4 linked regions of the Alligator mississippiensis genome follow. The protein of the gene in region 2 purifies or fractionates together with the protein of the main gene of each other region. This does not show direct contact. Links are inferred from orthologs where the notes say so. Each region holds a gene or a part of one and is shown on either strand. Other genes may lie near its edges. The genes, in order: COPS8, DCAF1, CEP78 and DYRK2.

The links.
Region 1: the proteins of DCAF1 (region 2) and COPS8 purify together in Homo sapiens (affinity purification with mass spectrometry; 4 studies listed by BioGRID and IntAct, counting the BioPlex papers as one, with this or other methods). This does not show direct contact. The link is inferred for Alligator mississippiensis from reciprocal best matches to the Homo sapiens genes DCAF1 and COPS8.
Region 3: the proteins of DCAF1 (region 2) and CEP78 purify together in Homo sapiens (affinity purification with western blotting; 3 studies listed by BioGRID, with this or other methods). This does not show direct contact. The link is inferred for Alligator mississippiensis from reciprocal best matches to the Homo sapiens genes DCAF1 and CEP78.
Region 4: the proteins of DCAF1 (region 2) and DYRK2 purify together in Homo sapiens (affinity purification with western blotting; 5 studies listed by BioGRID and IntAct, with this or other methods). This does not show direct contact. The link is inferred for Alligator mississippiensis from reciprocal best matches to the Homo sapiens genes DCAF1 and DYRK2.

Annotation. Positions count from the first base shown.
Region 1 is NC_081827.1:186,158,293-186,165,135, forward strand, and holds the start of COPS8 (COP9 signalosome complex subunit 8), read left to right. Parts: upstream 1-3,834; 5' UTR 3,835-3,936; coding exon 3,937-4,014; intron 4,015-6,843. UniProt on the Homo sapiens protein: Component of the COP9 signalosome complex (CSN), a complex involved in various cellular and developmental processes.
Region 2 is NC_081835.1:46,299,782-46,307,334, forward strand, and holds the start of DCAF1 (DDB1- and CUL4-associated factor 1), read right to left. Parts: upstream 3,022-7,553; 5' UTR 2,852-3,021; intron 1-2,851. UniProt on the Homo sapiens protein: Acts both as a substrate recognition component of E3 ubiquitin-protein ligase complexes and as an atypical serine/threonine-protein kinase, playing key roles in various processes such as cell cycle, telomerase regulation and histone modification.
Region 3 is NC_081826.1:199,686,293-199,693,544, reverse strand, and holds the start of CEP78 (centrosomal protein of 78 kDa), read right to left. Parts: upstream 3,009-7,252; coding exon 2,995-3,008; intron 2,656-2,994; coding exon 2,549-2,655; intron 2,076-2,548; coding exon 1,809-2,075; intron 1,595-1,808; coding exon 1,419-1,594; intron 754-1,418; coding exon 681-753; intron 1-680. UniProt on the Homo sapiens protein: Centriole wall protein that localizes to mature centrioles and regulates centriole and cilia biogenesis. Involved in centrosome duplication: required for efficient PLK4 centrosomal localization and PLK4-induced overduplication of centrioles.
Region 4 is NC_081827.1:68,669,881-68,677,524, forward strand, and holds the start of DYRK2 (dual specificity tyrosine-phosphorylation-regulated kinase 2), read left to right. Parts: upstream 1-4,639; 5' UTR 4,640-4,737; coding exon 4,738-4,786; intron 4,787-4,912; coding exon 4,913-5,040; intron 5,041-5,461; exon of another isoform or gene 5,462-5,816; intron 5,817-7,644. UniProt on the Homo sapiens protein: Serine/threonine-protein kinase involved in the regulation of the mitotic cell cycle, cell proliferation, apoptosis, organization of the cytoskeleton and neurite outgrowth. Functions in part via its role in ubiquitin-dependent proteasomal protein degradation.

The sequences.
Region 1 (6,843 bases), on a different chromosome or scaffold from region 2:
AACATGTTTTGATATATTTGAATTTCAAAGCAGCTTCTTTATGGGAAGCACCCACTGTACTGAGCTGAGGAAAACAAAGAGCAAGACAGATCAAGTTGGAAACTAGAGATGAGGAATGTGAAAGCCAGGTCAGCATTTGCTTAGAAATACCATGGAGTAGCATGTGAATAGGGCAGAGGATAAGAGACAGTACAGCAGTGCCACCACCTGGGAGAAAGAGAGGGTGGCAATAAAATAGAATTTATAAAGAAATTCCAACACAACTCCAACTTTCCCATTAAACAAAAGCAGTGACTGATGGATAGAAATATACTTAATCCTCCAGCATAACTAACCTTCTAGAAGGGCTGTGATGAAGCAAAACATGAGGAGCTTCAGATGTATGAGGTGTTGTCGCTGTAACTTTTTCAGGACAGTCACAGGCTCTGGTGTTGCAAACAGTTTCATATGTGCTTTATGTCTTAGCAGGACTGGGATTTAAAGACTTAGGGCATTTGTACACAGTGCAGCGTTTGATCCTCATTAATTTACCAGGCCTTAAAAATTTTAACCTGAGTTATTTTGGTGCATCATGTTTGTGTTTGCACGCCATGGGCTTTCAAATGACTTAAGTCCCATTGCCGCAAATTCCAGTAAGGGGAGACAAATACCAATCTACCTCTAGTAATTAGGGCTGTGTGAAACACCACTGTTCTGTTTCGACTTGTGTTTTGATGTTTCAACGGAACAGCGTTTCCTTTCGAATTTCACTTCAATTCAAAACTGCTGTTTCGTTTTGTGTAAACGGTTTTGCTGTTTTGACGCTGTTTCGAAGTTTTGCCCATAGGCTATAATGGGGAAGGTTAAAACAGCCTATAACTTTGTCATTTCTAGCCTGATTTGGATGAAACTTGCAGGAATGGTAGCCCCTTCTAAGGGCATGAAGCCTGCCAAGCTTCAAGGAGATAGATGCAGGGGTTTATGGGAAACCGCACCTCAAGCTGCAGACAAGCAAAACTTGTGACATGGGTGACACTGTGTGTGTTAAGGCGCAGCAGGCTGAAAACTGCAGGCATGCTAGACCCTGACGAGGTCATGAAGCCTGCCAGCTTTCAAGGAGATAAGTTCAGGGACTTCTGGGTTCTGGGGCCCTGCACCCCTAGCTGCTGACAGGCAAAACTCGTGACATGCATGGGTGACACTGTGTATGTGTGTTAAGCTGCGCCCTCACTCGACTGACACCAAGGCAGAAAACAGGGCAGTTCAAACAATGCTGCCTTCTTTGCAGTTTTTCTATCCCTCCCCAGAGCACTGGGATTGGAAGGGACCTCAGGAAAGGATGACATTCACTGGCCAGCTACACAGTCAATAATGAGAGCGCTCCTTCCCCTCTCTACCCTCTCCCTCCCCTTACTTTAGTTTCTGTTTCCCTGCAGGCAAGCCCAGCTTGAGCTTCGAAACTCAAAACGTTTTGAAAATTTTGAAACGTTTTGACTTGTCTTGTTTTGTTTTGAGGCTGTTTTGAAGCTCTCTTTTTCATTTCGATGTTGCTGTTTTGAGCTCAAAACTAGTCGAAACTGTCAAAATGAAACTGCCGGCGAAATTTCGCACAGCCCTACTAGTAATGTCTTTTCTAATGAGTTACAGCAGGAGGCGCCTGTTTGTGCCAGTAAACTGGGCTCCCTGCACAGTCCTCAGCCCTCTACCTCCCACTGGGAGTCTCATGCTAAGCCCCCCACCCCACTGCAGGACACAGTCACCCCAAAACCCTGCCTTTTGCACCCGCTTAGGCTCCAGCTGGTCTCCCAGTAGGCAACCTCATGGTGATCCCGTCGACAAGCCTTGTGAATCATCTCCCTTTTCCTTCCCCCCATGTTACAAAGTAATGATCATTTATATATATGATTTTTTTTTACTATATAGCTGATATGATATCAGAAATGTACAGGGTTGAAAGGAGCGGGTAGGTGGTGCCACCCTGAGTGGTTGGCAATTGTAGCTGATGGTGGTGGTGAGGTGGACAATGTTTCGTGTTGTGTTGCCGAAGCAGATGTGGATCGACATCTAATGTGGAAACTGTTTGCAAATACTCTTTGCCTTTCAGTACTAGGCCTCATGCTTATAGTTTAGGTGATGAATCACACTGGCAGTAGAGCAGAAGCGGAAGTTAGACGTGTTGAAAGATTTTAGGAGGGATATGAAGGAGGAAAGCAAAAATCCTAGCACAGGGGAGCTGTGAGCACACTTCCAGCACAGAGAGCAGCAGTGAAGTATGGCTTCTACCTTCTTCTGGTCAGTCTTTTCCTACACAGCAGCCTGATCAAGTTCTTGCACAGCGTGGAGTCACGTTAGTAGCATTCTGCATATAAGCAATAGCCTCCAATGTTACAGGTTTGCTGCTATAGAGATGCTAGAAGAGCCCTGATCAGTAGTGACACAGCATTTGCTGAGAGATGTAATGCATGTCTATATGTGCACTTTAATGCACATTAGCTTATTTTAATGTGCATTAAAGTGTCATAAAAAGTGCTCTTTAACTAATACACATTAAAATAGTCTAATGTACGGTTTTCTAGTACCTCACAATGGAGGGTGCCTGTACCTAAACTGGGAGGCTGTTTTGCCATGCTGTAATTACAGTGCATTGGAGCAGACTTGATTAATCGAGTCTGCTCCAGCCAGCCTCCACCTCTCATGTGTCAGCGTCCCTGCACTTCAAAACTTCAAGCTCATTGAACCAGCTTTAAAGGACCCCCACCACCATTTTGGAGCGCAGGGACTCTGATCAATGAGAAGTTCTGGGCTCTTTAATTAGAGTGGCTCTGGAAGCTACTCTAATGAAAGCGCTCCCCTCTCCCTCTCCCCGATCCCACAGCATGTGTAAAAATGGCCAGAGATACTAGATTTAATAAGCGTGGCCTAAAATGCATTTATGAACACACAGACGCACCTTTAGTTAGCCACATTAGTCTGAAGTCAATTAAAAGGAAGGGTGGATTTCCACCTTATAGACTGACCAAAGTGTGTGTGTGTGTGTGTGTGTGTGTGTGTGTGTGTGTGTGTGTGTGTGTGTGTGTGTGTGTGTGTGTGTGTGTGTTGCCATCAGAAAAAAAAGAAAGCCCAGTAGGCACGTGCTACTGAAAGTATCTGATGAAACGAGCTTTGACTCACCAAAGCTGGAAGGGGGATACACGTGTCTGTGTCTATGGGTGTAATTAGTCACCAAAGCTCATGCTATACACGTTTATTGTAGTTTTTTCTGTGGGATATAAGAAAATAATGTTTTCTGTTTCCAAGGCTGAAATACAAACTTCACACTGGTTTTAGTGAATCTTGGAACATTTTAATATGGCAGCAAAGCTCTGTGATGTCTGACGGACTCCACTGACAATCTACCTACAGCTGTGGAGCCTCAGTTTTAATCTAGCCTCCTTTCGTCAAATTTGGCGATTTCGTTTTGAATCATTTCTGTCTCTTTTGTCCTTTGCAGCTGGATTCAGGTCAGCAAGACTTGTACCGTACGTGCATTTGGGGGCGGGGTGGAGAGGGGCGCTCTATGTACTGCTTTGGTTAGTCACCAAAGTTTGTGATAGATAGATAGATAGATAGATAGATACGTGTTCTACTTGACCTTCCCAAATAAAGTCAGCCAGGCAGACGAGAAGCGCCCGCCAGCCCCGCTGGAATCTCCCCACAGCTTCCGTCGACCCAGGTGAGCAGCCAGAGGAGCGGGGCGAGGCGGGGCGGGGCTGGCAGCTGCGCCATTGGCTCGCAGTGCGGTCCCGCCCCCTCCCGGAGCGTTCCTCCCTCCAAGTCTCGAGTCCTCCTAAGCAGCCGAGGGGTGGCAAGAGCGGCTCTGCGACACGGTTCCCACTCCTCGCCAGTGGTGTGGGAGGAAGTGACGCGAGCTCTGGGCCGGAAGCGGCGGGCGGCTGTGGCGCCTGCCCGGGCAGGAAGATGCCAGTGGCGGTGATGGCGGAAAACGCCTTCAGCTTCAGGAAGCTGCTGGAGCAGTGCGAGACGCAGGAGCTGGAGGTAGCGGCGGGGCCAGGAGGGGCAGCAGCCGCTCCCCTTCCGCACGGGGTCGCGCCCGGCTCGGGGGGTCGCGCTGGGCCCCTGGGGCTTCAGGTCCCGCTGCCGGTGGCGCGCGCGGGGCGGAGCCGATGCTAAAAGGGGCGGGGCTGCCCCACGTTCGCCGCCGCCTGCCGCGAACGGTCCAAACCGGCCGGGCAGGGGGAGCAGCGGATCGGACGTGGGACACGGGGCAGGGAGCGGGGCAGAAACGAGCTGATCGGACATGAGCTAGTGAAGGGGAAACAACAGAGCAGCAGACTGGACCTGGGAGATAGGGCAGGGAAGAGAAAGAGGGGCAGGTTGGAGGTGTGACACGGGGCGGGAGTAGAAAGCAGAGTAGCCGATCGGACACGGGACAAGGCATAGAGCAGAAAGCAGAGCATCACATCAGACATGGGACACAAGGCAAGGAGCAGAACGTAAAGCAGATGGTTGGACTTGAGTGCATGGAGCAGAAAGCAGAGCAGCAGATCGGACATGAAACAGGGCAGGGAGAAGGAAGCAGAGCAGCAGATTGGATCTGCAAGACAACAGAGAGAGTAGCAGATTGAATTTAGGACACAGCAGGGAGCAGAAACCAGAGCAGAGCCATTTTCCTTCCTAGGTGGATGGCTGGTCAGTTGTGGGAACTTGTATGGGCCCCTTCCACTTCTTGGGTACGGACATGTATAGCAGTTTGTGCTCTTGTTTAAATTTCACTGGGATCAGGAACAGAGACGAAGTTATCCATCCTGGGTTTGCAGGTGGCCTCTGCTGCACTTGGAGAAGGTTGGAGCTGGTGGAGCAGGCAGTAGCTTATTTGTCTCTAGCAGTGGGGACAGGCACCACATAAACCTGTCAGGTTTACTACGTCTTCTTTCAGGGGTAGTTCTCTACTGAGTAAAGTTACCCCCATCCTCCTTTGCCATTTGTATTGTGTTTTAACTTTGATGTGATGCTGATATTACCAGAGAGAACATTTTGTGTCTGTCTGCTGGTTTTTCCAATGTCTGTGAGCTAGGAGTGCATAGATAAAGATTTTTTGGGGGCTGCTACCTGTTGGGGTGACTGTATTTGGATCTTGGGGAGTACTGGATTTGCAGCTGAATAAAGGCTTTAATCTGTGGCTTACAAAAGCTGCTGACCACAAGGCAGAATGGTGTATTAAAAGTAACATTGTGAGATGCTTAAGCAAGTAGTTTTCTGACCATATAGTAGTGTTGTAGGATATGTAACTCCTTTATATAAAAGAAACAGGATGCAAGCCACCGGCTGTCATTAGGAGATAGAGCAGATTTTGCTTATGAATGCTTATGCTAAGCCATCCATTTGCTTATGTGAATTAACCATCTTAACTGTGTGAACCATTCTTCTGAAAAAGCAGCAAGTAAGTCTGTGTGTTGCGAATGAGGTAATGTAAAGATGGTACAATATGGGACTGAAAAACAGACTGAAATGTGAAAGATGACATATCATTGGTAACAGAATCTGAAATAAACATATGTGAAAAGGTGAATGGTGATTGGTAAAGAAGCTTCCAGGTTTTGGCTGAAGTCAGCCCAGTGACCGAAAGAAGTGGAGTCAAGGTCTTAGTCGTGTGTTCATAGCAAAAAGACATGTAAATAAGTGAAATGCATAGACAATTCCATGCTAATGAAGTAAATGGTAAACAAAGGCAGAGCTTGAGATGGGAGGGACAAAGGTGGAGTAAATATTAATAAGTATAAACCAAAGTGTATAAATATGGAAAAAAACGTATGTTCACTGCTGCTCCCCAGTTTCTTTGGAAGCTTGCCCGAAGCTGTCTGCATTTTGAATAAAGCTGTTGCGAGCAATATGTGCTGGTGTTTGCTGCCTGCTTGTTCTGGCTAATGAGCAGCTGGATCCATGAGCAATTGGATAGTTGTCTCCCTAGTCGTTGGGAGCCGCATGGAGCCGGGATCTAACAATACCGATGGCTGATTTATTAACGAGCCATATCAGCCAATACCAGTCCAATTGCCAAGATGCAGCCTAGCAGCTTGGAGAGCACCGTCTGGCTGGTAAGTCTGTTGGGGGGGAGGGGAGATCAAGGTCCCCCTTGGTGACGGAGGGAGTGGGGCTGGGCAGGAGCAGGCACTGCACAGCCGTGGTGGGGCAGGGCATGGGACAGAGCCGCGGCTCATCCAGGCGGTGCAGGGGGAACAGCTTCCGTCACTGTGTGCACCCCTGGGGGAGCATGGGGGGAGTGGGGGATAGGGCCTGGGCTGTGCTCAGGGTAGGCAGGGACAGGGTGGATGGCAGCTGTGCTGGGAGGGGGGCTATGGCAAAGGGTGACTGTAGCCCATCCCATAGTCCTCCTCCCAGCACTGCTGCTGCCCACCCTGTGCGCAGCCCAGGCTCAGCCTCCCACTTCCCACTGGGAAGAGCCCAGTGGATCCCCGGCCCTGAGCATGCAGCAGCCTGCCCTCGCTCTGCACACAGATCTGGGGGGCTCATGCCTCTTCCAAGGTTGCATGCAGTGGTGGAAACCATCCCCCCCCTCCCTGCCCCCCACACGCCTTCTGGACGAGCCGTGGCTCCAGCCCACACCTCGCCCCACCCCAGTTGTGCAGCCCCTGCCCCGCTTCCTCCCTCGCTGTGGGGGCTTGATCTGCCTCTCTCATGCCCCTTCCCCCCCACAGGCGGGCTAGACGCTTGTCTCCAAGCTGCTGGGCTGCACTCGTGGCTGCATGCACGCTGCGGCTGTGCACATGCACGCAGGCATTTATCAGCTACATTATTGGCCATGTAGCCAAAAGAAATCTAGTAATGTCAGTTTCCTTTTTATCG
Region 2 (7,553 bases):
TTTTCAAATTTATTTTATTGTAACTACATGCTAAATGCCATCAGTAAAGAGACCAAGGTGTATAACACAAACTTGTATTTCTCATGCATTAACCACAATTTTCCCAGCACATGCATTTTTATGACAAGTGCATAGCATTTGCAGATGCAATGATCAAATCAATTCCTGCCAGATTTACATTCCCCTCACTCAAGAACTTCATCAAAGGGCTCAAGAGAAAAAACAAGAGCGCAGACTGAATAAAATGTGATCAGAAGTGCCCCTAAGCTGCAGTAGAGGATGTTTATTAGAGCAGCCCTAATTCTCATTGTTTCCTTTGTACAGGCACTTGACAAATTTCAACCCCTAAACTGCTTTTCAGGAACTAAGAATAGGATGTAGCATTTTAATCACTGATTTAAAAATCAAGTTGAAATTCTGTAAAAATGATGTTGAAGTTGCAGCCTCAAATTATAATTTGTAATTAAGTAAATGATAACGTTACATTTCTTTAATACCATTACTATTTGGGAATCACATTTTTCAAACTTGCCATTAGCAAAATGCAAAATACTGAAAGCCAGGCCTCGATTCTGCAAGCACTTATGCAGGCAATTTTATTTGTCTCTGTCATCTCAAATAAAATGACTTCAGTTTTAACAATAAAAATCAACTGAGACTTAAGAAGACAAGCTCCCATGATACATTAATATACAAGCCAAAAGACTGAAAAAGGTCTCTCACAAAAAAAGGCCCAAGTCCTCAAAGGTGTTTAGGCAACACGGATAATCCTACTGATTTCAACAAGAAATAGGCACTCAAATCCTTTCGTGCCTGTGGCACAGAGTGACTCTGGGACACAGCTTCCAACTGCAAAGCCTAAATAGTATAATCTAGCTGAAATGTTTCAGCTTCAACTTTATGAAACTGCAACATATTGGAAGGGAATGCTAGCTGCAAAAACAGCACAAGCTGTTTGCTTATCAATTTTGTGGCACTCTCCTGGTAAGGATTACAACAAGGCTCTAAACTGTTTCAGGAGATATAACCATTTTACATGAAAATCTTTTAAAATAAGGTACCTACAGTATTAGAATTTCAGATAATAAATATGAAACTCAAGCTCAAAAGCTGCACTGCAAAATTTAAAATGAAAAGGAAACAATTAGCAACATATAAATAACAAGAAATCATATTGTTTAAGAAAAAATAAGTAATGATTTTAATCAACCTTGTGGCAGAACGTCAGACATAAATTCTAATGAAGATTAACAGAGTTATGAAATTTGTCCATCAGCATAATGGACAAGGTCAAGCCACATTATAGCAACCACACTCTAACCCAGTCCAGATAAAACAAGAAATATAATACTGCTCTCAACAATGATTTAAGTTTTCTAAAAGAACCACTGTAGACAAAGTCTAAGGTAGCGTGAAATCTAACTGCAATGGTAGAAATTTTTTATTTTTTTTTAAACAGCAAGTGCTGCATAAACAAATGAAGCTCTGGCTGCCTGAGTGTGCAAAGAGCCTGCAACAACTATCCCACTCTTAAAAAGGGTGGTAAAGTTGCAACCTAAGAATGATTATGCAAATGCCAACACTGATTAACAACTGTACTGTTGAACACAGTCTATAAGCAAAGAAGAGATCTGCATGGTCAATCACGAATGAAATCACATCTTAGTGTTAGAAGAAGCAGGACTTTCAAGATGATGGCCTATTTTTTCAGCTTGTCACTTCAGTCATCAAGAAGCAAATACGACTTGCCTGCAGGCCCTACAAACAGTAAAAATAATGATCTAAAAAACCAGCACTGTTCTACTTGTCCGTCAAAATGTAGTATTCACTCACTCACCAACTTGAGTCAAATTTTGGAAGTCCAGCTCAAAAGATTAAATAATTTAGTTCTCTACATTTAAGCTTCTATGAAATGTACCTCAGAGGGGCTGTCAACCAACTGTAACAAAAAAATAATTAAAACAAGGAACAAATATGTTGGTGTCAAGAGAAAAATCACTCCATTCTCAGTCCACTGGTTTTCAAGGGGTGACAACAATCCCCAATCAAACAAGTAGGAGAAAAGCAAGACAAAGAATGGGTCTATGCCTGAGCCCTGTAACACTGTAACTACACTTGTGTAATCAAAGACATCCTGCGCTCCCACAAACGCACTTTCCTGAGCATGTCTGACTCCTAATCAGGGAAGAGGTTCACTAGCCCAGAGGCACCTGTCATGCCTATAAGAGGGACTGTACCAGTTTAATTCTTGCAATTAATAAGTGTATGAAAACAGTCTCCAAAAGGAAAGCAGCTCCAACAGTAGAGCCACTCACTACCAAAACTACACTGCATGGAAGGAGGAGGCGGCAGGCCCGAGGTCTCACCCCGGCCCCTCGGGGCGAGGGGGGAGAGGGGGGGGGCATATGGAGGCAGCGGCGAGGCAATGGCAGGGCAGGGCTGGGCAGAGCAGCCCACCCGGCACATGGCAGCAAGGATAGGTGAGGAACAAGGGGTCCTTCGAGCAAGAGGGCTGAGCTGGGCGGCAAGTCACCACCCCCCCACGTGGGCAGGAAGCGCCACGCTCGGGGCAGGGGGCGGGCGCGCGGACGGACGGGGAAGGGAGGCCCGGAGGTAGCGAGGAGCCGGGAGTGACCCCGGCGGCACAAGGTGGAGGGAGCTGCAGGGGGGACCGGGCGCCCCTCCCCCGCCCCGCGGTAACGGCCCCGCGCCGGGCCCGAGGCAGGACCCGACAGGACAGGACAGGGCCGGGCCGGCCGACGCAGTGGCAAGGCCAGGGCCGAGCGGCCTGTGGGGCCGGGGCCGCAGCCGGTGCCGTCAGCCACCCCGCGGGGTCCGCGCCCAGCCCTACCTGCCCAGCGCCCGCTGGTCCCCGCCGCTGCGCTGCGCTGCGCTGCGCTGCGCTGCCCGTTCGGCCCCGCACAGCCCGCGACAGCGATGGCGGCTCACACTTTGCACGTCACGGCGCGCGCAGGGGCCGGCGCCCGCGCAGCCTCCAGGGAAACACAGTTCGAGAGCCGGCGGCACAGTGCGCATGCGCGGCTCTCTCAGTGCCGGGAGGCTGGGTCTGGTCTGCGTCAGGCTCGGGGGCGGGGCCGGTTCCTGACCCCGCGGATCAAGTGATGGTGCTCACTCCCGCTCATGAGGCGCTGTTTGCAGAAGCTGCCGAGTTAAATCATCTCGGTCCTGCCCCGGTGCGGGGGCGCAAAGGGCTGCTCATGCCAAGCAAGGTCTTGTTACTGCGATTCTGGGGCGGCTCCTGGAGCTCTCAACGCCTGGCTTGTCTCCACATTAACTCCTGAAACTGGCGCCAAGCACTAAGGGTGTGAAGGTATTTTCGGCTTGTGTTACACTAGAGCACCTGCACCTTACACCCCGCGCTCACACCGCTCGACAGATGTGCGGATCACAGCACAACATGTGACACGGCCCTCGCATGACATTGCACTTGATGGGATTCATGTTCATAAACCTTAAGGTACAAGTTTAGGTTGGGAATATATTGCCATATTCATATTCTTCCCTCAATCTACTGTTTGCTCCATTAGAGTTACCCCACAGACGAGCAGGATTACTAGAAATAATGCCTTCACACACTGGACTACTTTCTTGAGACGGGCCCAATCAATTACCACTTGCAGAGTCGGGCTACCACAGGAACGTTAAATAAAAATATTATATTCTCTGTTAAAAAGGGATGGTCATAGTGCAGAGTATTCAAGACACTTTAGAATACATGTGCGCACACATGCATATATATACACAATATATATATATATATATATATATATATATTGCCTGCAACGGGGAACTCCTGCCCTTGTTACTGGGAGGGCTTGAATACATTTTAAAAAAGGGCAGGAATCAGGTAGCTAATGAGGCAGGCAATTAACTGCACCTGGCACTGGGAAAGGATGAACAAAAGGGTCAGTCAGGTGACTGGAAGGGGCCTGGGCTGAGAAATATAAACCCAGTCTCTGAATAGGCATTGGTTAATCTGGTCTTGTAGTTGGCAGCTGGTGGAGGTGGGTTGATTAGTGTCCGCCTAGTTCCCAGAGATCTGCAGGGAAGAGGCTAAGGGGAACTAGCACCCTGCAGGGAAGTATTAGCCCAGAATAGAGAGGTTTTTTTTGTTTCACAGCTGTTGGGCTGATGTTTATGTTTTGGCTAGATCTTTTGGAGAACTGGCTGTGGCTGTAAAGAGAAGAAGCCACAAATAGGAGTGCTTTAGTGCTTCCCCCTGCAATGAGCCCCAGAGTTCAGGCCCTGAGATTGAGGTAAGGGTTGAAACTCAGAGACTGAGGCCTTGAACAGCAGTCCCAGGCAGAGGGTGTAGTTGTAGAGCAAAGGGGAGCTGAGGCTGTGATGGCCAAGGCCCTGCCAAGTGCCTCAACCTATGTGGGTGTCCCCTTTAAGGGGAAGTACCAAGAGAAGGCAGAAGGTCCCAGCTATTGCTGGTTGGTATGGACATATCAGTCCATCCCATGATGTGACTACCTGCCACAATTTCAGTGTTGTTGGGGAGAGATCCCTAGGGTCAGTAAATGATGGGAGGCAAAGCAAGGTTGGGAAGGCGCCAGCAAGCAGGGTGGACCCACGTGGGTGCTATGTTACCACATACAAAAATTTATGTGGTGACATGAATATTCCTTCCAACCTATAAATACCCCTATGGCGATGGATGGTACTACAGCTTGCTATGTTCTTCATGTCTCCAAAATAAATTACCTAAGCTATGGGGTTTTTGTACCCTGCTGCCCCTCTCAAATGAATGAATTTATAGTCTGTAATGAATTCATCATACAGTTTAGACTACCTTACAGAATCCATCTACTTGCTCATTTTAAACACCTTCCTACTGAAGTCAGAGGAAGGGAGGATGCCCAATCCATTAGACTAGTAGGGATATTGTATGAGTACAAAATGACAACTTTTGATACCAGCTTTAACTCATGCAGTTTGTTTTTAAGTATCACATTACTTGATTCAATAAACTTATTTCCTTTTCCATTCTTGAGTGTTACACTGAAAGCTGTTTAATTTGGCCATTGACTTGCCTACTTTTGACCATTAGACAGCAGCTTGCTTTGGAAACAAGACTATTTCTCCTAATCCTGTAGGAAACTAAGCACAACACCAAAGCAAGTCACATTGAACCAACAGAGTCAAATCATAGGAAGACTAAATCATCCCAGCTGTTTTTGTTCGTCCATTACTACTTCAGCATGGCTGCTTCTATCACAAGGAAAGAAGCGTGGTCTTGTGCCTTTTATGGAGCAAGGGACCAAGTCAAGAGTTTGATTCTGTTTCAGCTTTCCCACTGACACTTGTGACTATTAGCAGGTGCCTTCAATTTATATCATCCCTCTTTCACATGTAAGGTGTAACTAACACCTCTTCAGGGTGTTAGTAATAAGTAATGAGCCATGTCGTCTGGCTCGTTAGTAGTGTGTACTCCTGGAAGTGCCGAGTTACCATTCAGACAAGGTTCTTTGGGTAAATCCGATATCTCTTATTAGACCAACTAAAATAGTTGGGGAAAAAAATTTTTTTGGTCATTATCCAGGCTGTTGGAAGTTTCTTAAAAATGGGGGAGCTGAAAGTAAGTACTCAAACAGTGGCTGTGGCTGTGATAGTAACAGGAATGGAAAGCAAAGTGTTGTAATGAACTGATAGGGGCAACACCACATGGAATGCTCAGGTAGCTGAAATTTTCCATCATAAATGAGGAATGTTAAAGAGGCTTAATGAGAGTGACCAAAAAAAAGTGGAAAGGAAAGAAATATTTGGTGTAATTTTTGTAATAAAAAGATGCTAAAGGTCAACTTGTACAAGATGATGGTAAGACCAAGAATGAAATACAAGGCAGAACCCTGGATCATGAGAAGAAAGAAAGAGAAAATTTGACAAGGAGAGAAATAGGTTGCGATCAACCCTGGGAGTACTTCCAGCAATGACACCTTCCGTGTATCCTCCACTTCTAATAAAGATGGTTACAGAAGCTAGATCATACCATCAGACCTTCTCAAGAAGGTATGACAAAAAAAGTTACTGGGCAAAATGATCTCCAACAAGGGTTGGCAACCTATTCCCAATGGGCCAGATGCAAGTTATGAAAAGACTTGATCCAGCCTGCAACAGCATGCTCCAGCCAGTGCAGCAGAGAGGGCATTCCCCAGGTACTGCTGCCTATCTCATTCTGTATTTCCTCTGCAGTATTTGCAAGTCACTGCAAATCTTTGCACCCTTCAATAGGGGCTGGGTTCAAACAGTGGCCCATAACAGTGGAAGGTTCTCGACCCCTTATCTACAGGATGATGCCAACTATTGTTACGTGGGAAGTTATGTTGTTTACCCAAAAGGTGGGAACCAGTCATGAAGGACTTCCTGTATCCATATTTGAATGTGGGTCCAGTGAAGTCTTACTTTAACAGGACACTTGGGGTTCTCACTCAGGGCTAGATGGTATGGGGCCACTTTTACCAACTGACGTATTCCCAAATAAGAGTAGTTTTTCTGCATACCTGTATGGGAATTGAATGTGGGCTTGAATTCCTAAGGGGCCTTGGGTCCAACAGGATTAAGTACCTTCTCATGTGTCTGGCACCAGGCAGAGTCACCAATGCCTAGGCCCTTTGGCTTGCACAGTTAGTTCAAAGACATGGTTTAGGGTGCTTTTAGAATTCATATTTCAGCAGTAGCTTAACTAAGGTAAGCGGGGAAAAGGGTAAACAGGGCACCAGATGCCAATGGAGGGGCTGGAGGGGAGGGGAAGTACAAAAATAGCAGTCAGCACTGCCTGAGCTGGTACTACCATTGATGGTGGCAACCTAGCCACTGTCCAGCTACACCTTTATTTTAGGTAGAGGTTGCATTGCACTTCAGAGATTCAGTTATGGTACAGGACTTTGCTATCTGAAATGAAGATACTGTTGTTCTCTTTCTGTACTTCACATTCTCTTGCAGAGATACACAGAGAAAAAGGATTGATGGAGTCTAAAACAGGTAGAAAGCAACCCTAAACCCCTCTGGATTAAGCTGAAACTATTAGGATTTCATGCATCCTGAAGACCAGGGGGTGAAGAAAACTGAAAAACAGCTGTCTCTGGCTTTTCTTCCTCTAGTTTTGCCACACACTAGGGCAAGCACCAGTTAATATTAATCATCAACCTCATGGTGAACTTTTTGCTTCAACATCATCCACTTTGACAGCAACATTTTTAGCCAGAGGCTCAGCCCAATATTAGCCCATCCAGTTTTTTCAATCCAATGCTTGTATTAGTTCTTCCAACCCTGTTTATTCAAGCATTAGCCGTCTTTGGTACATGCCCATTTTGGGATGGGTCATCTCCTTGATAATCAGTGATACCACATCCAATGTATTTGAGTCTCTGAAGACTGCTGGATTCTTCAACAAGACTTGACGCCAGTTGTTGCTAGAAGGTAGTGCTGCTGCCTGTACCTTCTATTGCAGGGGTGGGCAAAATACAGCCTGTGAGCTGGACTTGGCCCACCAGGCCATTCTATCCGGCCTGCGGGGCCCCTAAAAAATT
Region 3 (7,252 bases), on a different chromosome or scaffold from region 2:
AAAATTATTTATCTTTCTCCAGTATACATTGTTTGCATGCAGACATCATTATGAAAAGGTATCTCAGTAATGCTTAAGTTGCATAAACATTTTACTTATTACAAGTAAAGAAATAGCTGAGACTGCAATTGCTTTTAAGTTTCTAAGTTTAATTACTTGCTTAGTACTAGTAGACTATCGTGTAACTTCAGGGTTCAGAATACTTAAAAAAAGAAAAAAAATCTACAAGTATTGACAGAAAGGAAGAAAAGATCATAACAACACATCCTAGCTGGTATGTAGTTTCACAAAATACAAAATAAAGATAACTGCTTTATAGTTAGTATAGATTAAAACAGGGGTGGAAATATTGATTAAAACTTTGTTTTAATAAGTTCATACACACAAGCACAGATCACCTTACAGTAGTGATCCTCAACCTTCACATACTTAAAGCACCTTTTGCTAGACTCAAAGCACCTCTTGAAACGTGCCACGCTGTTGATTTTCACTATTTTTGACTACAGAAAAATAATTAATCAATACTTCTGCTGTAAAGAACTCAGAAAGACCGCAACTAGTCAGAATGCATTTAGGACCATGAATTCCTGTTTGAAATCTTTGGGTTTATCTTGTGAATCATGCCACATCACCCTGGTTGAGAATCACTACCTTCAAATATTTCTTTTTAAATGACTTACTTTCTAGTCCTCCATCTCCAATTGGACAATGAGCTAAAGACAGACTCTCTAAAGATGTTGTCTTTGCTAACCCCTTTGGAAAAAAAAAACCATTTAATTAACAGTATTATGTTAGCATATGTCTAAAGAATGGGCTGAGATACGTGTTCCCACTATGGACCCTTTGTCTACAAAAGAGGAAGAAATGGACTCTAGAAACACTGCTTACAGCTGCTTCCCCTAAAAACCGTCTAACTGAAAAGGCATAACAGAAACATTAGGGTATGCCAGGTTCCCTGGGGAGGCTGCCATTACAAGCAACCCGCACTTAACGCTGTTTCGCTTAGCACTATTTCACTATAATGCTCATTGTACAGTCATACCCAATTCCACTTAGCACTCAGCGAGTTTCACTATAACGCTCATGGTCGCCATCCTGGTTCGTCAAAAACTTTCCGTTTCGCTTAACACTATTTCTGCTTAATGCTCGGTTTTTCGGGAACCAATTAAGAGTGCTAAGCAGGGGTTGCCTGTACTTTGATTGGCCCCCAGGACTAAATTAAGCTGGCATCTCTCCAACACCCTAGAATCAGTCAAGAACAGAAGTATAAAAAGCCATCCTAAAATCACCATAGCCCTCTCTCTCTGTGGCCTGTGTGCTTAGCACTGTATCTTTAAAATGTGAGTAGAAAAATCACACCCAAGATCTTTATTGTTAAGGGTGCAATTCTTTTATGGGCGTGGTTAAAACGGTCTTACCTTTGTTAAAAGTATTAGATCTCTCTCTCTCAGAAGCAGACCCTGAAGTTCCACATTTTTTAGAACGCTTGATATACTCAGACACCCTCTGATGGCTTTACATAATTGACTCGTCAAATCTTTTGATCGGATTGCTGGAATACGCCTTCTGTAGCAGGTTTTATGTCTTTCAGCACCTGGTAAACAACAGAAATGAATTTGGGGGTGAAATGACATCCAGGCCACACTGAAGTCCCTGGGGCCAGAATCTCACCTTGGACCTTTGGTTTTTACAAGACCCATTAAAAAACCCCACAATATTTCTACCCCTCATACACATGTGCAGAAGCGTTCTGTATTGAATTCTCATGTAAACAGGTGTAAGGAGCATCTCAAGCAGTCACTACCAACCTGATTCTCCTAGACCCTGCTGATGAAAACTCCTGATTCCAACAGAAGTCAAAGTCTTATTATGCCTGACTGCATCCAGAAGCGGAGCCCAGTCAGCTGCCTTGATGCGATCTGCATTTAGGTCAAGAGTGCCCCGACTCAGGTAAGGCTTCACTGATTTTACTGGGACAGAGCCTTGGAGGGCACAGAGATGTTCATAGTGAGAGTAAAAATCCATGGTGCTCTGCTTCCTTAGTCGATTGTTTCTTTCAGGCGCAGAGTTTCTCTCTGAGCAGAGGGAGGAGGGGAAAAAAAAAAAAAAAAAAAAAGACTACAATTGATCCAGCTGAACAAACTACATACTGGCAGAGGCTCTCAATACAAGCACCCGCACCATGACAACGGAGTAAAGCTCAGGTCCAAACAAGTCACTGCATTCAGCACATTACGCGACAGCACTGCCACCTGGAAACGAATGGGAGGGAACCCCGCATCGACAGTCTCTCACAAACAGCTCCTACCTAACTGCCATAAAGATCATCTCCTAGGGCACGGGTCCGCTACCCCCAGCACGCCGAGGGCAGGTGGAAGCCAGGCTGGCGCCGCCCCAGGCCGCTCCGTGCCGCGGGCCGGCGGCACTGCAGAGCAGGAGGCGGGGAAGGGGCCCCAGGCGGCGCGAGTGGGAGCGCAGCCCCGCCCCCACTCCGCCGCCGCCGCCACCGCCTCCTCCGAACCGCGTGCGCCTGCTCGCGGGCACTCACCTCCTGCCTGCCACGGCACGCGCACACGACAACACCCTCCCTCTCCCTCCCCCGCCGCCGCTGCCAGCCCCGCGCAGCTCAGCCCGCCAAGGCGTGCGGCACCGCCTCTTCCGGGGGCGGGGACATGCCGGGGACAGCTTTTCCCCGCCTGCGGCTGGGCTCGGGGCTGGGGCAAGCGGTCCGCGTTCGGGCAGGGCCGGAGTGCGCGCAGAGCGGGTGTCAGTGGGGACGGGCAATGTTATTATTATTGCCATTATTATTATTATATAGAAATATCTATAATATATATTTCTTGTGTGCGTGTGTGGTTATGTATACATATATAAACAAATGTCAGCCCGTTAGAAAAACCCAATTCAGAAGCCAAAATCACTCTTCTGTTCTATCCCATATACAATAAGTGCAACCAAACACACTATTTACATATCCTTTAATACAAAATTTACCCAGCTACCACCATTTAAATATATAGATATAGATATCTAAATGAGATAAAGGGGGTGGGTGTGCGTATACATATATCGGACTATGTACACACATGCGCACACACGTACACAAATTTTATAAAAGCCTTAATCAGTCTGTCCGTCTGTCCATAACACTTTATTCATCCTCTAATTGACTCAGCCCCATTCATGACAAACAATTTGCTATTGTGTGTGTATCTATATAGTGTCTGATACATTGTGTCTGATACCTGGGCAGACAAGAATTGTTCTGTAATTATTCTAGGAGCTTTAACCTATTTCATCTTTCCAGCATACACTTTAGAGTTTGATCTTCCTGTCTCTAAGAAAGACCAAAAGCAGAGCCTGTAAAATAACAGTCACACCCAGCCATGCATAACGCTAATAATTTTTACAGGATGCAAGCTCCTCTGTGCATACATGAATTGTAAAACCAAGACGTAGTCCTGTGTTTACGGCGTTTCACATGGAAGTTTTGGTGCATTTGTTCAACAGAACATGGGAGTTACACCTAGCCTGTAGGAATGTTAGGCCCCAGCTCAAGTCTGGGTTCATGCCCGGTATGCAAAGACCAATAAAGATACCAGAGGTGAAAGTATAAAAAAGATTTATTGCTAGCAATAAAAGGTGCAAGCGGAATAATTTCACCCTACAAGCACAGCACATATGCAATACTGAGCCCCTTATATACAAGAGTTTGAATCTTCATAAGCATCCTTGTTTGCTATTGGTTATAAAGGAGTGACGCAAGGAGTTCTTTACTGAGCATGTCTCTATACCTGTATTTTAGCTATGTATCTCATTAACATACATATATGTTTCATTAGCATATATCTTCCCTGCCTAGGGGTGTGATTTTTAGTATTTTAATGAGCTCTTTGTTCCAGTAACTCTGATTCTGTTTTTGTTTTCAAGCTTCCTCTATCTAAGACTGTCTGCTCCTTATCATTGCAGATGGGCATTCGTCACATAACATTCACTTTTGCTTAGGCTTTGCATAGTAGTTTCTAGGTCGAACCTTACATTTCCCTCCTCTGGAGCATTCATAATTATTAATTATGATTGCTCCATTCAATTTGACTTAACACAAATCTAGTATTCTCAGCTTTCTTTGTTTGCAAAATCATTTGATTTACCTTAGGTCTGAAGATAGATGCGATACAAACCGGTATACATTGGATACAGAAACAAACCATAATCCCTATAAAACAAAATAGAACAACCATACAAAATAACTGTTTCAACCATCCAAAATTGGGAAGCCAGGAAGTTAACCAGAAAAAGTCTAAGCCAGATGATTCTTTCAACGTCTGTGTCAATCGTTGTAAGGCACCAATTTTGTCTTCAATTACAGAATTATCAGTGAGGTTGAAGCAGCACATTCCTTTTAAGGTTTCACACTCCAGATTGTGTCACAACAAGAGATAATCAATAGCGGCTCTATTCTCTAAGACAGCATCCCTTAGTTGTTTTTGTTCAGCATTCAAGGCTGAGAGCGCTCGAGATGTAGCATTTAGTCCTTTTGCTAAAACACAGGCCACTGCATTAAGATTTCTGCTATTACAGACAGCAAGACCCGGAACCCCCACCATAGATGCAGCTAATGCTATGTATTCTGCCTTAGATAATAGTCCAGGGGAATCATTCTCGTCACAATCAGCAGTGAGAGTAGTGTATGCTCATTTAAACCTCCCACCAAGAGGGGTTTGTTCAGTGTGCATTAGGTCAGACTTCCTTGGAAGAGCTGCAGTTACCCGGGCAATGGTGCATGGTCCCCCAGTAGCATTCGCTGGAAGGTATAAATATATCATTCTCCCGCAGGCCAGAAACCATCCTCGAGGAAGGATGGTATGTGTGTATACATACGATATTTGACTGGTCTTATTACAGAAGATTTTTCTACCTTGGTTCAATTCAAAGCAATTATTGGTACAATTCACTATTAAGAAACATTCAGAAGCATTAGCTGTTGCCTGAACCCGTACAGAAAACATGTCTCTGCTTTTCTCTTTTACAATAGTCCCCCACTTATATATATCCTGATATGTATTTTCCTTCTCTACATCTTTCAGCATAGTATAATTCTGTAAAATTTTCAAAGGGGTAGGTACTGCAATTAAGCATGAGGTAAAAACCAGATGAGCATTGATCCCTCCCGCTAAGCAGAAGTCTGTTCTATTTAATATTTCCCGGGCCAGATAAATCCAGACATTTTCCTGAGGGTCAAATTCTTGTGGTAAAAGATTTTCCCCTCCTATAAGTAGGAGTGGACAGATCAGGGTGCCCCACACTAAAACCTTGAACAATTTCATAATAAGGCTTGTAAAACTTGATCAAAGATTGACAAATTATTCAAAGTTCCTTTCTTTTGAATAGGAATTTTAAGTCCCTTATTGGCTCCACCTTTCACTGTTCTCTGCCTCCGGTCCCGGAGTTTGCAGGAGTTTCTTCTTGTTCTGGTTCAGCCACCGGCTTTAGGCGACTGGAATGTATCCAAGTCTTGATTCCTTCTAGCTTTGCTGCCATCGGGGTCGTTAAAAGTACTCTATACAGGCCCTTCCATCTGGCTCGAAGTGGTTCCTCGTTCCAATCTTTCACAAGAGCGTAACTTCCAAGTAATAATCGATTTTCCGGGGCAGGAGACTGGTTCTGTGTCTGCAGCACGTCCCGTACCTGCTGATGGATGGAAGACAAAACAGAAACCAAAGACCATACATATTCTCTAATCATTCCCTCTCCTAAAACATGTAACTGTTGTTCAGTACCCATGGGCAGACTCAGAGGGTAAGGCTTACCATACATTATCTCAAATGGGCTTAATCCCAATTTAGAATGTGGTGCGACCCTTACTTGCAACAGGGCCAAGGGTAGGGCCTCTGGCCATTTGAGTCGAGCTTCTTGGCAAATCTTTGCAAGGTGTCTTTTTAAGGTCTGATTCATACGTTCCACCTTTCCACTGGACTGGGGTCTCCAAGGGGTGTGTAAATGCCAGCTGATTCCCAGGAACTCAGAAACTTTCTGAGTAATTTATGCAATGAAATGTGGGCCATTGTCTGACCCTATTCCTTTTGGAAGTCCGAAGCGAGGTATGATTTCTCGTAGGAGTGCCTTGACCACCTCTCGGGCTTGGGCAGTCCGACATGGGAAGCACTCAACCCAATTAGAGAAAGTGTCCACAAAGACAAGGATCTCATCCCCTGTTGCTGGGGTAACTCAGTAAAATCCACCTGCCATTTTTCTCCTGGCCCATTGCCTATTCTCTGATGTCCTGAAGTTTCTTTTCTCCCTCCTTTTGGGTTATTTCTCTGGCAGACCTCACATGTCTCTGTTACCTTCTTGGCAGCCTCTCTTAATCCCACTCCAGTTACATAGTGACTGATCCACCTTATCAGGGCCCTGGGTCCATAGTGGGTGCCATGATAAGCTCTCTTCACTACCATATGAACCCAGGCAGCTGGGATGATAATGCGGCCATCCTTTGCTACTAGCCACCCGTGCTCCCCCTTCTTTGCTTGAAACTCTCTTATCAATTGTTTGTCTCTTTCCCCGTACTGTGGTGTCACAGGCTGGTATAAGTCTGGGAGGAGAGGTAACAGATTACTTACTTTGGGCAGCAAGTCTTTCTGAGGTTTTTTAGCTGCTTTCTTTGCTGTAGCGTCAGCAAATCGATTACCTTTTGTGGAGGGATCATCATTTTTCTTTTGATGTGCTTTGCAATGCATTACTGCTACCTCTTTTGGTTCCCAGACTGCCTTGAGGAGGGCTTTTATCTGCTTGCTATGCTTAATGCCTGTTCCTTTTGAATCAAGTAGACCTCGCTCTCTCCATAGCGCTCCGTGAGCATGTAAAACAAGAAAAACATATTTAGAGTTAGTATAAATATTGACAGTTTTGTTGGCCGCCAATTGCAAAGCCCGAGTCATAGCAATGAGTTCAGCCTTTTGAGCTGAAACAGATGGGTTTAAAGGTCCTGCTTCTATCACATTCTGTGTAGTCACGATAGCGTATCCGGATTTTCGAATTCCATTCTCTATACTCGAGCTGCCATCAGTGTAGAACTCCAGGTCAGCTTTTTCAAGAGGTCTGTCTCTCAAATTTGGTCTTGAAGAATAAACAGTTTCCAATGTTTGCAAACAGTCATGCACAAGATCTGGTGTGTCACCCATAGATGGCAACAGTGTTGCTGGATTTACATGGCGAGAAATGGCCAATTTTATTTCAGGCTTATCTAGGAGGA
Region 4 (7,644 bases), on a different chromosome or scaffold from region 2:
AGCAGTAGCTGTGCTGCACGTGGCCAGACTGCACCACACATGGTGCTCACTCTGGAACATGCATCACATGGTGCCTACGCCAGCCAGTCCAGGACCTGCACTACTTGTGGTGTTTGTAGGTGCCATATGCCTTGCAGGTCCGGGACTGGCTGGAGTGGATGCCATGTACAGCCCAGTCTTGGATCTGTGGGGGAGGCTACTGTGTATGCATAGCAGCTGCTGCTCTGGTCAAAGTGTGCCTGTTCCAGCTATTCTGGGATCTGTACTGCATGCATAGATCCTAGACTGGCTGGAGTAGTCACAGGATCAGGTATGCTGGTGGAGGGGCTGGGGAGGTGGGGTGGGGGGAGTTTTCGGGAGGGACCTCTGGAGATGATGTAGTCCAGGGGTGTCGAAATTATCCAGCCCTGTTTGACACCCCTGGACTACATCATCTCCAGAGGTCATGTAGTCCAGTCCTTCCAGTCCTACTTTTCTATAATTCTTTGATTCTAAGAATGAAGAAAAGCTACCAAGCTGCTTCTGCACGATGGACCAGAATTCTGCTGCAGATGGGTGAAGGAATGTTATAGACTGTCCTTATATAACATGCTAATTTTCAGTGTAGCTAATTCTCAGTGTAACTAATTCACTATGGGAGTTAAAAATATCTGTATCTGACTCTTTTCCTCTTACATTAGTTTTATACCAGTGCTACTTTACAGACTTCAGTACAGTAGCTCCTGATTTACAGCACTCTAACTGAAAGCAAAATGGGACCCTTTGTCTCCAAATTACTCCATGCAGAGAGTTTACACAATAATAAATGGTAAAAGGAAAAAAATCTAATATACTTTGAGAACACAATCTGGAAAAAGAAATGACAAATTGCAATAGAGGGAGATCTGGCACAGAACACTTTCCTCCATCATCTGTGCAAACTAAAATGAATGCACAGACTGAACATTAGTGCTACATGACTTGGGGGGGAAAATATAGAAGTTAAGAAAGGATGGATGGTGAGCATGTCCTGAGATCTGAATATACTGGACAGAAATCTCACAAAATAACTTTAATAATATAAGGAGAAAAATTACTCTTTGTCCTGCAGTCTCATATAGAACCTTGGAACATGTTTTTAGGGCATATTCATGGACCAATAAAACATCCTTTGTTGTATCTTAATGCTATAATAAAAGTAGCAGCTTATGCATTCTTAGAGAGAAGTATGACTGAATCTTTGAAAACAGAATAAACTGTGTGCAAGTAGTTTAGCTGGAATAAAGTATAGCTGGAGTGGTTTATGAATGCCAACAAATACTTGATCCTTGCAAGCTACTTTAGCTTTGCACTATATTCTTACCAGTGCTAATGCACTTTCTACAGTTCTGTGGCAAGAATTCTCCTCTCCGCTCTGAATGTATATATCAATAACAAAAGCCCAGCTTTATTTTTAAAAATTATATTGAAATATTATATAAAACTTCCACTGCAATAGGTATTTCAGTGAGAAAATAATATTTTTGGAGGGGATAATGAAGGCTGATGCATATCAGATTTAAAAAGTAAGACTGGATTCTGCTTGCACAAAAGCAATTGGAAAATTCCTGTATATTTCAATGGGATCAGGGTTCTAAAGTAATTCTGAATCAAATCTCAACCTTAGATCTGTGTCTCTCTTCCATCCAAATCCTGCCATTTACAATCACTTATCTGTAACAGTTCCATTACAATTCCCCTTTCTATATGCCAGTCTTCAGAGAGGCCATAATTTGCAATTAATACTGATTAAAGGTACTCAGTGCTTTTCAAGAAGTGTTGATATGTCTATTATTCCTACAGTACCATCACTGTAGCATACTGTGGTATGTTGATATGAAGGCTGAGATGCTCAAAGGTATTTAGAAGCTTAACTCCCATTGATACTGTTGAGGATTAGAGTCCAAATATACAATTAGGCAATGCAGTATTTCATCCAAAAGGACAGCACTCTCCAGCTCTCCTCTCTATGATTTTGCCATTGCTTTCTAAGAGGGGATGTTCTCTCCTGTTTCTTTCTTTCTAAGTAAAGCCATTTAATAATCTTCACTGCAAGAAGAAATGCTTGAACAGAGGTATCTTCCATTGTGCCTGAAAGTGTTGAGACAGGCTTATCCTGATCCCCAGGTTCACTCTAGACTGCATCAGCCACAGTGACCATATTGATCAGAACTGTCAAGGTGGATTGGACAGAGTGAGAGAGAGACTTTAAATTATCTATCTGTCCCACTGGGAACTTGAAAAATTAGCACCAAAATTGTGAAGTGGATACAGAATTGGATGGGAGCCAGTCACTGATGTGATGTGCTCTTTTTTTTGGCCTGTCTTATCTACCAGATGGGGCACTATGTGATGGATCAGCTGAATCTTAATCTATGCGATTGTACGGTTGGATAAATGAACTGCAGTAGGCCAGCCTTAGATGACACAGGTAAAGCACACCTGTTAGGGAAAGAGACTCTGCCCTATCTTGCTGAAACAGGAAAAAGCCCTATTTGGCTTTTCTGAAGTTTGGATATTTAGAGGAAGCAGTGAGTCCAGAGGAACTTACTGCTTTCTCTCACCTTGACAAACAGACCAGACACCTTTCATAGAGGTGAAGTTAGAGCTCTTGCTAGTCCTGTGAAGTGTTTCCCTGGTATCAATATCACTTCTCTCTTATCTGGACTGAGTTTGAGCCAGCTGCATTTTCATCTCAGTACTTATCTTACTTACACTTATCTCTGCCTCCATATATTGGGATGCTGCATTCCTCTGGACCACTCTTTGGACCTCTAAGGCATTTCATGGGAAATATTCCCATGGTGCTGACTGTTCAGGGGATTTGGTGTACATATTCTTTGTTGGTATGAATTGTGGGACCAGAGTGGTAGTCAAACATCAGCTTCATTTTTAAAGCCTCACTTTTGCAAGCATTTTTAAAGCTTCACTTTTTAAAAGCTTCATTATACAGCTGCTGTACAAACAGGATTCTCTACTAATCAGCTTCCTGCTCTGCCAATAAAAGAAACATTTCCTGGACCATCATAGCTACCACACCACTCAAACCTATGTAAAAGAAAACTCATTTAGATCACTGAGGTAACATGTTACTGTTATTTTTACATTCACAAATGTATCTCAATGTGGTTTCTTTCTATGGGCTGTGAAGAGAGTGTGTTTGGAGGGGCAGTGAAAGGTGAAAATCTCTCTTTTGCCATGAGGGGAAAAGGTCAGCTGTATGCGAGAAGGAAAAGGTATGGTATTTTTTTCTGTGTATGGCAAGAGGGGAAGAGGAAAGTGTCTATTTCTCTGTACCAATGGGGGAAGGAGGAGGGGGAGGTCTTTGTGCATGTTTGTGCCCCAGGCAGTGGAGGACAGAGGGGGAGGGGAAGTGGAAGACATATCTGTAGCAGTGGGAAAAGGAGAGGTTTGTTTTTACTTCCTTGTGAAAGGGGAGAAAGGAAAGGATGTCTGTCCATCTGCCTACCTATCAGCATTTCATAAACAAATGTACAGCATCCAAAAAGGGTTGAGTGTAGAGAGGAAAGTTCACTAGCTCAATCCTAAACTGGGCAAATGTTCAGATATCTATTTTTGTTGGTACTACAGTTCAAACTGACATTGAATCAAGAATCCTTTTGATTCATGTGATCTCTACAGCACACACAGGAAAATAATAATAAAAAAAATCCCTTGCTCTGTCTTTTTTTCCCCCTATTCAAATTGAGGCTTTTTTGTATGTTTCAGAATCTGCTTTCTGTCAGATGTGTTTTTTGGTAAGACTTTGTCCCTATAAATGTTTCAATTTATTTTCCCCTCTGAAACTCTCACCTTGGCCCCTGGTAGCTGTTTTCTGTCTCCTTGCAGCTGGTGTTTGTCCTGCTCTGCCCCCAGCCCCATTTCTGTTGCCCATTCTTGCCCTCTCCCCACTGCTGTTGTCTTGGCTGATGCTCTCAAGAATGAGGTGGTCTGGATGATGCCTTCTCCCTCCCCCCCATTCCAGTGAGCTGCACCCTCTAAGGTGCAGGCATACCAGGCTTGTGGGTATTGCCCTCTGTGGTGTGGGGATACCAGGCTTTTGAAAGTATCGCCCTCTGCAGTTGGGGGTTACCAGGCTTGGGGGTATTGCCCTCTGCGGTGTGGGGATACCAGGCTTTTGAGGGTATCACCTGCTAAGGTGTGGGCATACCAGGCTTGGGGGCATCACCCTCTGCGGTGACTGAACTGCCTGCCAATGCGAAAGCGGAGGACGAGCTCTCCCCCTCCCAGGAGCCGGCCCTTTCCTTGCCGGCGGGGCTAAAGGAGGGTTTTTGCCCGGCCCGCGGGAGGCAGGACCCGCGCGCCTGCCCCGGCCCCGGCCCAGACACGGGAGGCGGCGGGGCGGGACTGGGCGGAGGGGGTTTCCGAGGTGGGAGTCGGCTCCTCGGCCCTGCACGTGCCAGTCCTCCCCGGGGCGGGGGCGGCGGCGGCGGCGGCGGGGCCGGGCGGGGGTCGCTGCTCCGCCAGGGGGAGGAGAGAGGCGGCGAGGCGGGGCTCGCCCCTCGGCCGGGCGCGGGAGGCGGGTCCGGGCGCGCGGGGATGCGCCGGGGCTGGGGGCGCGGGCGGCCGGGGGCTGTGCCCGGCGGGCCCGGCGCCAGGGGGCTGCGGCGGGGCGTCGCCGAGGCCGCAGCTGCCCGGCCAGGCCGAGCCGCCCGGCGCTGCTGACATGCCGCTCCCCCCGCCGGCGCCGCAGCGGCCATGTTAACCAGGAAGCCCTCCACCAGCGCCGCCGCCGCCTACCCAGTCGGTGAGCAGCGCGGGCCGCCCGGCCCGGCCCCGCGGGGTCTGGGGGGAGGCAACCCGCGGGGCGGGGCGGGGCGGGGCGGGGTCCGTCCCCTCGCGCCGCCGCTCACCGCTTGCTCTCCCCCCGCAGGCCGGGCAGGCGAAAGCGGCCGCCAGCCGCAGCCCTCCCCGGGGCTGGGAGCGCGCACGGCCGCGGGCGCCGGGCCGCCGTCTCCCATCGCGCTGCCGCCGCTCCGGGCCAGCAACGCCGCGCACACGGTGAGAGCCGGGCCGGGCCGGGGCGGGGGGCGCGCTGCAGCCTGGCCGCGGGGAGACACCACTCCCCTCCCCTCGCCCCCGGGGCTCCTGGTTTCAACAAGTCTCGTGCGGGAGCGGGGCAACATCAGCTCACATCTGGGCGCACGGTCAGGGCCGCTGAGAAGCTGCTTTGTTTTTGACCCCCTCCCACCCCTTCATGAATCTGTTTTTAGCAGGGACACATGAGCCCTTCCCTCGCCGCCGCCGGGTGATGTGCCAGGGCTGGGGGCTGGGGTTGGAGGCCTGACCTGAAGGCTGCTCTTTGCTCATTGATGTGTCTCATGAACTGCCTCAGCTCTTTCCCGAAGGAAGGTGGAGGGAGGAGACGGGAGGGGATGGGATGGGGGGGTGGTTAGCTCCCATCCTCGCCCAGTCCTGGCCAATCCACCAGCCATGGGGCTTCCCAAACAAGCTGCTATTTCTGGAGGGGTGGGTCTCCCTCTCCCGGGTGGTGCAAGAGCCCCAAATCACTGCCACGTCCGTCCCTCTGATTGCCTTGTCGATGGCAGAAGGTGTCCTTATGCAGAAGGCAGCGCTCACCCCTGCGTTTTGCTTCAGACTAATGATTGCCCGGTTGGATGCTCACATGCTATCTCTGTAAACATATGGCAGAGCTTTACACTGTAATGTGATTATGTGCTGGTGGAAGGTGAAACTGTCTGCATTCGGATCTCGGCGTTGCAGCGGCTTTCTGCATAGCGTTTGGGATACAGATATCTTACTCCGATCCACTTGCCGTAAGAAGAAGCTTAAGGCTTTCATTTTCCATTTTGTTTTTTTTAATTGAACATTAAATTTAGGATGCTCCATAAGAGAATGACCTGATGTTCTACAAATCAAAGATGGGTCTATGTTCAGCATCAGTATGTTTTACCCACATGCACATACACTCTCTCTCTCCCCCCGCAGACCCCTCTTTCATTTGTAGAATATCAGTTCATTCTCTTATGGAGCATCCTGATATACATAGAAATTCCAGGAACAATTACAGGTTCCTATGGACAAGGTTTATACTTTATCCTATAGTGATGGGCATTATGGTATAGATTTATATTTTTACTGGGCATTAGCTACAGAAATAAATTTGACTGATAATCTGTTCCCAGTTTGAGCACACTGGACCTAATTTAAACAGTATAACTGCTACAAGTGCTATATATATATCATTATATTTTATACATGCCTACACACACACACGCATGTCATATATTTATATCTATATAGCATGTGTATATACTGAAGCTACTTCTGTACAGTACTATATGCCTCTGTAAACACAGAGGCTAAATTTTGTTTGTAGTTAAACAGATGGAGAGCTGGTAAAGTGCTGGCTGAGTTAAAACAATGTGGAGGCAGTTTACATTTTTCTTTTAAAGCAAAATATAAGACATAATAGTAAAAACATAGAAAATAGCCATGCAAGTGTTCTTGCACAGACATGTGCATTCACCCATGGATTTAATTTGGGCTTCATACAGATATAGTAGTCCTCATGTCTATCTCTGCTTGCTGGCCTAGGATCATGGTGTTGATAGTACAGAACCCTGATGGGTTTTTTAGCAGAAAAGGGCAAGCACAATTTTATGGCATTTCAGGTCCCTCTAGCTCTCACTGTTAAAATCTGTGTCTCTGTGATATGCCACTTATTTAGCCTTGAGTACTATTTTAGAAGTATTGCAGGCTGCCTCGCTGAATTTTGCAGGTTGTTATTTTGTGGTTGGTAGAAGATGTGAACATAACTTTTTATGGTAAGAATCAGTTGTGACATCAGAATGGTGGATTGTAACTTTTAAAACCATTTGGATATATTGGTTGCAAGATCATTCTAGGATTTGTAGCTGCAGTGACCTCCCTTAACACTGCCTGACTGAACTCCCTTTAATTTTATTTCCCACCACTTCTTCAAAACAGAGCTGAAAATGGAACTTCTAATTTTTCTTTCTACATTGACTTCCCTCCCTCTGTGCATATACTTACATGGCTCCCATCACCGTAGTTTCTGTACCTCCCACACAGCTAAAAATAAAAATAGCAGTCTCTTTTGCCTTCCCAGCCTTTAGGAAAAATAGCATGTTTAGATATTTGTGTGTGTGTGTGTGCACACATATCTGAAGAACCTGTAGAGGGAAAACCAAGTTGAAGAAATTTATAATGAAAGTGAAGGGGCCCACTGCCATTCTTAACTGCTTACACAGCTGAGTCATATGCTATAGGTTCAACTTCTGTGAAAATCCTGTCTCGTCTTATTAGTCAGCAGGGTCAGACAGGGAGAGGTGCCTTCCCTTAGAAGTTTGTGAACATCAGGACAGAGATATGGCTTCAGTCTCTGTCATCATGGCAACCTGTGTTGCTAAGCAGACAGACTTAGCAGTGTATTGCACCAGGTTGTGTTGGTTAATATGTTTGTTTTTTAAGAGTGTGAGACTATCCTAATCCTTTCCTTCTCCATTTTCATCAATACTTCCACTATTTTTCTGGACACTCAAGCTTGAAAATGTTGGAGGGGTCATTGCAGACTCCTAGTCCTTTTCTCCAAAATCTGTCCTTTTGTATCTGTTCCCTACT